Linked DNA regions of Cricetulus griseus. The protein of the gene in region 1 purifies or fractionates together with the protein of each later gene. This does not show direct contact. Links are inferred from orthologs where the notes say so. Each region holds a gene or a part of one and is shown on either strand. Other genes may lie near its edges.

Region 1 (4,516 bases):
ACTAGGTAAAACCTTTAAGACTTTCTGTTGTCAGGTATCCACCCTCAAGCAATACCTTCTAGAGGCCTGGTAGAAATAGGTGTAGAGTTTAAATCGGGTAGATGTACTTACTGTGTGGACACGAGAAAGCTGCTTAATTTCTCTGAGCCTATTTCCTCATTTGTGACAATGGGGACCAATATTACCTACCTCACAGGGTTGTTGTGAGGATTAAGAGATGAGACATGGAAGCACCTAGCCATACCTGGCAAATAGGTATTCAATAAATGTTGTGTTTCCCCTTTCCTTTTGCGCTTCCCCCCCAACCCCGCCCCCAGAAGTGATCATAAAGGAAAAGCAGCCTCTTTCTTTTTTAATGGTCACTTGGAAATGAGTGGGTGACTTTTCAGACTTGGAATTGATAAGCATTATGGTGAAGTGGATGGGGGTTAATCTTCTGATTAAATGGTTCTAATTAATTTTCACTGTACAGACCTTTCTGTTGGGGATTTGTAGTTTATGTTTAGTTTCTACTAGAGAAATAATTTTAAATTCCAGGGGAAAGTTTCAATGGCTGCAAAAAAGGTGACCTTTCCTAAAAGCGGCAGTGAAGGTATATTAGGATTACCTTCACAAGGTTGTAATTTATTTACAAATCTTCTGGCGATACTGGAGAGACTTACTAAACTTCCCATTTTCTGGAGCTATCATATAGGAACTCTCGTTCAAGAAGGATGCACTGGTTTGCTTCTGGGCATGGGACTAAGTCCCTAATGTAGAGCCCTTGGTTTATATTGGAAAAAAGGAAACATGGAAATGTTATGAATGAACGGCACCTATTTTCCATGTTCTATTATTTGCTAGAAGTCGAGTGATCCTTTGCCAAAATAGGAGTTCCAGGTAAATGTACAGCTCACAAGAAATTTCACAAGAAATTCACAGTAGTAGCAGAAGAACTAAGATATACTTTTAAGAGCAGGAGGACGCACGAGGCATAGACGGAAGCCAGGCTGGGCAGTTTGTTCCCATCTCAAAGATCAGACTGAGACAACTTTGGCTGAAGTGCCCAACACTCGGCTTCGGGCAGAGACCCAGACTCCATAATCACAGATCAAAAGGGTTTTTCTGGCCAGGGAGACTCTTTCCAGGTGAAATTTCCAGACGGCTGTGAGCTCTTCTTTAGGAATCCGGTCCTCACCACCAAACCTTCTGTGCGACCTCAAGAGGGCACCGCGAGCTGGAAGTCCCTCTTTTTCTACGCTTACCCAAGCCCGAGAGCCCAAGAATTAAGGTATTAAGTCTGGGAGGTGCGGAGCGACCGATCTCCATCCCTCCACGGGAGCAGCCAGACTCTCGGGGACTTCCGCCTTCCGTACCTCTTTCGCTTCCCACCGCCTCCGTGCTCTAAATGGTAACGGCCGCCGGGCGTCGCCGGAAGTGTCGTAAACAGCAGACATCCGGTTCTTCCGGGCGCTAGGGGAGCTGACGGAGAAGGCCACCGCCCAGCAGAAGACGCGGCTCAGCCGGTGTAGTCGTGGTTTCTGCGGTGTGTGAGTCCGGACCCGGTCCCCTCTCCCGCCGCCGTCATGGGCTGCACGTTGAGCGCCGAGGACAAGGCGGCGGTGGAGCGGAGCAAGATGATTGACCGCAACTTGCGGGAGGACGGGGAGAAAGCGGCCAAAGAAGTGAAGCTGCTGCTGCTCGGTGAGGGGCCGGGGGCGGAGCTGGAGTCCTGGATTCCCGAGAGTCCGGCCCGGGGAGCAGGCTGAGCCGTGAGGGGTCTGGCTGGGCCGGCGGAACGGACCCCGAAGGGACCCGGACGGGATGGATGCCCGGCGTGGGGCGAGTTCTGGGCTTGGGGATTGAGGCCCCGGAAGGCGTGGGGATTTCAGGTTGGAGAGGGTGTAACCGGACTGGGATGGTGCTTAGCAGAGTTTGGGAGTTTGGAGCTTTGAGGCTGGGCTGAGAATTCGGGAAAGGCTCCTTACTGGGAGGGACCGATATAAGGGAAGGTTTCACATTGGATTGGAACGTGTTGAGGAGAGTAGTGTATGGTGTCTGCTGGGCCTGTCCGGAGTTTGTGTGAGTTTGATACTTGATGGCAGCATAAAGCTGGAAGAATTGAATGACTAGAGAAGCTAGGACGGAAGAGTCACATGAAAAACAACAACAAAAAAACCCTGCTGTTTGTAAAAGAGCACACGTAGTTTTTGTGCTGTTAGTAACGTGGATTGTCCAGGAACATAAAGGGGGAGGCGGGTAAAATAAATGACAAGTTCTTAAGTATAAGAGAAAAGAACTTGGGTCAGAGCCCGGCTATACTTTTAAACAAGGGATAGGAATGGTGTCAGCTGAGAAAATTGAAAGAATGCCATCTTTGAGGTTTGTGATTGAGGATTAATGGGCAGTAGATTACAGTGGGGACGTTCTGGGAATGATGTGCGTTGAGAATAGAGTTAGAATAGGATACTATATGGGGTGGGGCATATTTACAGTAAAGACTGTGATAAATCCGGGGGGATATTTTTAATTGGGTTTATAAGTAAAAATATTGGCTTCCAGACTACAGCATGTCGCCTTCTACTCCACTTAAGTGGCTTTTATATATAGTCAGACATGTTTTAGTCAGGACAATTTAGTTTTAAACTTTGATAGACCCAGTAAATCACGTAAACATTCTCTGGCATTAGCTTACCAATAAATCCGGCCACATTCATTATTCATATTTTTGAGGAATCTGTTAGATGAGAATATGTAAGAGTCACAGGTTCTGTAAGCAGTGGAAATTTTTGATCAATTGAGTTCTGAGGAGTCACTGTAGAGTACCAATTTCACTTTGTGAAGCTCCAGAGGACAGACACAACCACCATAATCTCAGACTTACTTTGTGCTTTAAGATGTGCTGGGTGCTTATTTATATATGGTGGAAGCTCTGAGTGACAGCTTGGATATAAAGAAAAGGTTGTGCAATGGAGTTTTGAGTTTCCAGAAGATAGGAAGTCAAATCATAGTTCTAGACTGCCAGTGTCTATGTAATAGATATCTTACGTGGATGAACATGGTTTCTGGTACTTGGCAGGTACTTAAGTATTTACTATTGACCAACCAGTTTGATCAAGCTATGGTGGACATTAGTTCACGGGCACTTTTCAGAAGGCTGATAAAAACGTGCTCGTTTTCTCCATCGTCCTGTATCAGCTTCACCAGTGCTGGGATCATCATACCGTTGACATTAGCATTTTCTCTTTTTTAAAAATGATTTTTTTTTGGTATTTCATATGCATTGGTGTTTTGCCTGCATGTATATATGAGGGTGTCATCCCCTGGAACTGGGTTATAGACAGTTGTCAGCTGCCATGTGGTTGCTGGGAATTGAATACGGGTCCTTTGGAAGAGCAGTCAGTGCTCTTAACCACTGAGCCATCTCTCTAGTCCCTGACATTAGCATTTTCTATATTGACCAGTCACTTATGAAATTAAATATGTATTCTTATTCACTGTGATTTGATTTATATTGACCATTGAAAAACTTTGGCAGGCAGAACCAGCCAAGTATGTGTAAAGAAAATCTTTATTCAGGGCCTTTAATTTAAAAAATTAAACACATCATAGCTTAGAGAATTTGAAAAGTTTTAAAGTCAAAGTACTGAACATTTGTCTTTCATTTTTACTAGCTTTTTTTTTTTTTAAGCATTTTGTTTTGTTTTGAGACAGAATCTTGGTCTCAAAATTCATGAGATCCTATAGCTGAGATTACAGGTATGTACCACAAACATGGATTTTTTTTTTCTCTCAGAATTTTTTTTAACAGTATTTTGAGCAAATTAAACCAGTAAGTTGAAGTAGGTTGCAGAAGCAGCTGCTCTTAACCTGAGTTGTATCATAATGCATATGTGAAATTAAAATGATCTTTAATGGGGCTGGAGAGATGGCTTAACAGTTAAGATCACTTGCTATTTTTACAGAGGATCTGGATGAGGGTCTCAGTACCCACATGGCAGCTAACAACTACCTGTAGGCATGTACATGGTACATATACATATGTGGAGATTAATCACTCAGATGTAAAATGAATAAATCTAACACTTTAAAAAAAGATCTTTCATGATATTTCTTTAAGTAAAATGCACCTTTATGGTAAATAAAAAAACACCCTATATGGTATTCCAGTTACCCCTTCCCCTCATTTTTTTGATTTCAGAAAGTTTCCTTTGGTACATGTAAGCCATTTTTACTTCAACACTAAGTGGCTATCCAATTTAATTTAAATTGAAATCTACTTTTCTTGCCTTTCCTGGTTCGTATATTTTCTTTTGTCTGTGGCTATAATTCTCATAGTGATTGAAGCATGGGCTTTGAAGTTAGAACGCTTCAAATTCTAATTCATGCTTATTTACTAGCTGTAATTTTCATTTGCCTCAGTTTCTTTACTTTTAAGATATAGAAAGTAGAGATCCTTCAGAATTGCTGGGAAGATTAAATATGATAACAATATAAAGCAAAACATATCTAGTTAATAGTAACTGTTTATTATTGT
Region 2 (4,275 bases), on another chromosome or scaffold:
CTCGGATGCCCTCACCGCGAGTCCAATCAGCCATCTCGCCCTCCAGAGCCCCACTCTGGGACACCGCAGCACAGCGACGGACGTGGCACCGGCTCCTGGAAGAGGCTTCCGGTTCCGCCTCAGGTATAATAACTTCCGGGAGAAGGGACTGGAGCGGAAGAAACAAAAATGAAGTTGTTCCATGGAATGTAAATAAGGGAAGGGCGGGCCGCCTGCGTTCGTGCCCGCGGATTGGCCAGCAATAGTAGTCCCGAGATGTGGGTGGTACCCGGAGCATGAGCTCGGGCACAAACCGGGAGCTGAGGCTGGAAACCGGCTCGGTAAAGCTGCCGGATGCCTCGGGCGCTGCGGAAGCCCGAGTGTGAGAACTACAAGATGCGGAGGACGGACAGAACTGAAGGAGACTGGCGAAGGAGACGCCAGGGCCTGACACCGAGCAGGCGCAGGGCACGCGCCGGTTAGCTCAGCGGGTGGCAGATCATCCGCTGGAGCATGGCTTGTGTGTCACCGCGAGGTACACTCTCACCGACCATGCCTCCAGCCACGCGGAGTGCGGACCCGGCTCCCCAGCCACCCACCCTCTACCCAGCGTTGGAACGCCTCTCACACTGACGGGCCGCGGCTGGCCGCCCCTCCATTGCCCCTCCCATGGGAGTGGCTTTCTCCGGGTGGTTTTCGCTTCCCTCTGACCCTTCCTCATACACTGGGACTTTCTTTTTCCTTTGATGGCCACATTGTTTTTGATGGTTCGGTCTTTCGTTTGTTTTAAGGACGGTCTCACTATGTATCCCTGTCTGGCCTAGAACTCACAGATCTGCCTGCTTCTGCTTCTCGGGTGCTGGGATAAAGGCGTGCGCCACCTCGCCGAGCTATCCGCTTTATTTTGACCACCCGAGTCGTTGTGTTTGTCTTTCCCGCGGAGCATGAGCTTCAGGGTCTGGACCGTGGGGCTCCAGCTGACTAAGCGACCAGAAGATAGTGCTCCCTTCATCTCTCTCCCTGTTCCCTGACCGGTGCGTAAGGAGGGCGGTCCATGCGGGGGCCGAGACCCCACCTCCACGCCCCACGCCTGCTAGAGAGGAGGGAGAAAAGGGGGGCGAGGGGATGCTACTTGGCTAGCTAGCGCCGCTGTTCCAAGACGAGCCGCTCGGCGATCGCGGCCAGGTGGGCTCCACCTTAAACCGGAGGCCCGCCCCACGCCTGTGCACACCCTTTCTGCTCGGCTGTGCTCCCGGCATCCCTCACGCGTGGACTCGGGGCTTCCGGACCTGGGCGGAGCCCGCGGGTTTGGCCGATTGCGTCTTCCCAGCCCAAGCCTTCCAGCACCCGGTGCCAGGGGCCATGGAGCCCCGGGCAGTTGCGGATGCTTTGGAGACGGGAGAGGAAGACACAGTGACAGAAGCTCTGCAGTCGTTCAACCGGGAGGTGAGAGGCACCCGGCTGCTGAGGAAATTTCTTGGAGAGAGGAAGCAGTGGTGTGCGCGCAGCGCGGCCGGGGTGTGCGTGCGAGTGTGGCAGGGAGCACGGCCTTGGGAGGCGGGCTGGGCCTCGGGGGTTTCAGTGGTGGGGCAGGTGTAGGGGAAGCGAGGGTGGTGGGCCCTGCCTTGCGTTCAGAGCAATGGCTGCTGCCTCAGAGGTAAAAGCAGACCGGCTGCCCTGACTCGAGGAGCACAGGTCCTACCTGCGCGTGGACTTGAGCCTACTGGGTCTCCTCCCTGCAGCACTCCCAGAGCTTCACCTTCGATGATGCCCAACAGGAGGACAGGAAGGTAGGTGCCATCCCAAGGGGCTCCTAGGGCAGGCATGGGCTGCCCCAAGAAGAGGGACTGGTGGATCCACTTTTGTCCCTCCCCACAGAGACTCGCAAAGCTGCTGGTCTCCTTACTGGAGCAGGGCTTGTCACCGTCACACCGTGTCACCTGGCTGCAGACTATCCGAATCCTAACCCGAGACCGCAGCTGCCTGGACTCATTTGCCAGCCGCCAGAGCCTCCATGCACTAGCCTGCTATGCTGACATCACCATCTCAGAGGAGCCCATCCCACAGCCCCCAGACATGGATGTCTTACTCGAGTCTCTCAAATGCCTGTGCAATCTCGTGCTCAGCAGCCCCGCAGCGCAGATGCTAGCAGCAGAGGCTCGCCTGGTGGTGAGGCTAGTGGAGCGTGTGGGACTGTACCGCAAAAGGAGCTATCCCCACGAAGTCCAGTTCTTTGACCTGAGGCTCCTTTTCCTGCTAACTGCCCTTCGCACTGATGTGCGCCAGCAACTGTTTCAGGAGCTGCACGGTGTGCGCCTGCTGACTGAGGCGCTGGAACTGACGCTGGGGGTGGGCCCCAAAGAAAAACCCCCGGTGGTACTTCCGGCCCAAGAGACAGAGCGGGCCATGGAGATCCTCAAAGTGCTCTTTAACATCACCTTTGACTCTGTCAAGAGGGAGGTGGATGAGGTAAGTTGTAGCCTGAAGTCATGGGTGGGACTCAGCTCAGCTGGGACAGTTTTGTGGTTTTGCTTCCTTCCTGCCTCAACTTCCTGGGTGCCAGACATGGCAAGGATAATGGGACATCAAGGCAGGGAATCCAAGGAAGGTTTCTGAGCTGTGTTGTGGGGGTGTGTTTGTGGGAAGGCTTTAGGTGGCCAAAGGTCACCAACTGTGCTGTGGACAAAGCCAAGTGATCAGCTCCATGTGGCCCTGGAGCACTGGAACAGGGGACTCCTCCTTACAGGAGCCATTTTCTGTCTTTGGTTAGGAAGATGCTGCCCTTTACCGGTACCTGGGGACCCTTCTGCGGCACTGTGTGATGGTTGCTGCTGCTGGAGACCGCACAGAGGAGTTCCACGGGTAAGGGGCAGGACTTACCGTGTGTTGACAGTGGGGAGAGTACTTAGGCATGGGTACCCTAGTCCTCAGCCCTAGGTGTCAGTAGAAGCACCAGGTCCCACCGTAAGAGTATGACTGTCAGAGGGATGGGAAACCAGAGTGTTCCCAGAGAGCCCCAGGAACTCAGAATATGACTAGGGGAAGAGCTAAGGTGGAAACAATGGTGGCCCTGGCATTGTAAGGCAATGGTGTTCCTGCTGGTGGTGACCAATAAGTACCTCACCTGACTTGGTATCTCAGCTCAGACAGAATGGGACAGGCAGAAGTTTGTCTCCCCACCAAACTTGAATGGAGTACTACCTGCCCTTGCCTCTAGTCCTCGGTGCTGTCCTCAGTCCCCCATATCATGTATACCCCAGGAGAGGAGCCGGGGATTACTTCTGTGCTAGAGTTACTCTGTCAAGGCCTCTGTCTGTCCCCAGCCACACGGTGAATCTCCTGGGAAACTTGCCCCTCAAATGTTTGGATGTCCTTCTCGCCCTGGAGCTACACGAAGGATCCTTAGAGTTTATGGGAGTCAATATGGAAGTGATCAGTGCCCTTCTTGCCTTCCTAGAGAAGCGTCTGCACCAGGTAGGTGGAGGACCTGCTATGTTGTGGCTTCCATTTCTGCACCAGGGAGAGAGGTCAGCTTGAAGGTATAACTTGGACAGTTTCTCTGGTTGCTCTGTGGCCCCACCAGAGATAGCTATTCAGTCAGACCCTCTCCGAAGCTTGTGGATACAGCTTGTGTGTGGACCTCAATGCTGCTGATTCCCAAAGAAAAGCAGGCTTCTCAGGGTCTGCCAAGGTGAATGTTGTCTTTTAGGTCTCTGCAGTTCCCTGTTAAGTGATTCTCAGAAGCCTTTGGTTCCTGCTTCCCTAATGTTCCCATACATTGGCAGCCATAGGTGACAGCATTAGTTGTCCTGCATCTTTTGTTTTTTGTTTTTTATTTTTTATTTTGGTTTTTCAAGACAGGTTTTCTCTGTGTAGCCCTGGCTGTCGTGGAACTCACTCTGCAGATCAGGCTGACCTCAAACTCAGAGATCAGCCTGTCTCTGCCTCCCAAGTACTAGGATTAAAGGAATGACCCCAACCCCCACCTCCACCCCCACCCCCGTTGTCCCTCTGCATCTTAAGGAGACATAACCAAGGGTTACCTGACACCTACAGTTATAATATGGGACCAGAGAGCTGGTGATCTAGCCTATCCTGTGGAGCTCACACAGATGAAAGCCATAGATAGAGGTTCATTAGATCTCCGAGGAGCCATAGGGTGCTCAGCACCTATGAGCTGGGTGAGGACAAAGAAGCTAGTGTTGAATATGCTAGCTGTGACTGCCTGCCCTTATTGCTATAACGGCTGGTATTGGACTCCAGGGAGATAATGGGAAGGCAGGGAAGGGATAGGTA

The links.
Region 2: the proteins of Gnai3 (region 1) and Ric8a purify together in Homo sapiens (affinity purification with mass spectrometry; 3 studies listed by BioGRID and IntAct, counting the BioPlex papers as one, with this or other methods). This does not show direct contact. The link is inferred for Cricetulus griseus from reciprocal best matches to the Homo sapiens genes GNAI3 and RIC8A.

Annotation. Positions count from the first base shown.
Region 1 is NW_023276806.1:48,991,009-48,995,524, forward strand, and holds the start of Gnai3 (guanine nucleotide-binding protein G(i) subunit alpha), read left to right. Parts: upstream 1-1,565; coding exon 1,566-1,683; intron 1,684-4,516. UniProt on the Homo sapiens protein: Heterotrimeric guanine nucleotide-binding proteins (G proteins) function as transducers downstream of G protein-coupled receptors (GPCRs) in numerous signaling cascades.
Region 2 is NC_048596.1:60,341,221-60,345,495, reverse strand, and holds the start of Ric8a (synembryn-A), read left to right. Parts: upstream 1-1,288; 5' UTR 1,289-1,341; coding exon 1,342-1,425; intron 1,426-1,721; coding exon 1,722-1,769; intron 1,770-1,857; coding exon 1,858-2,448; intron 2,449-2,749; coding exon 2,750-2,841; intron 2,842-3,302; coding exon 3,303-3,453; intron 3,454-4,275. Other genes in the region: Bet1l (BET1-like protein), read right to left, coding at 16-277.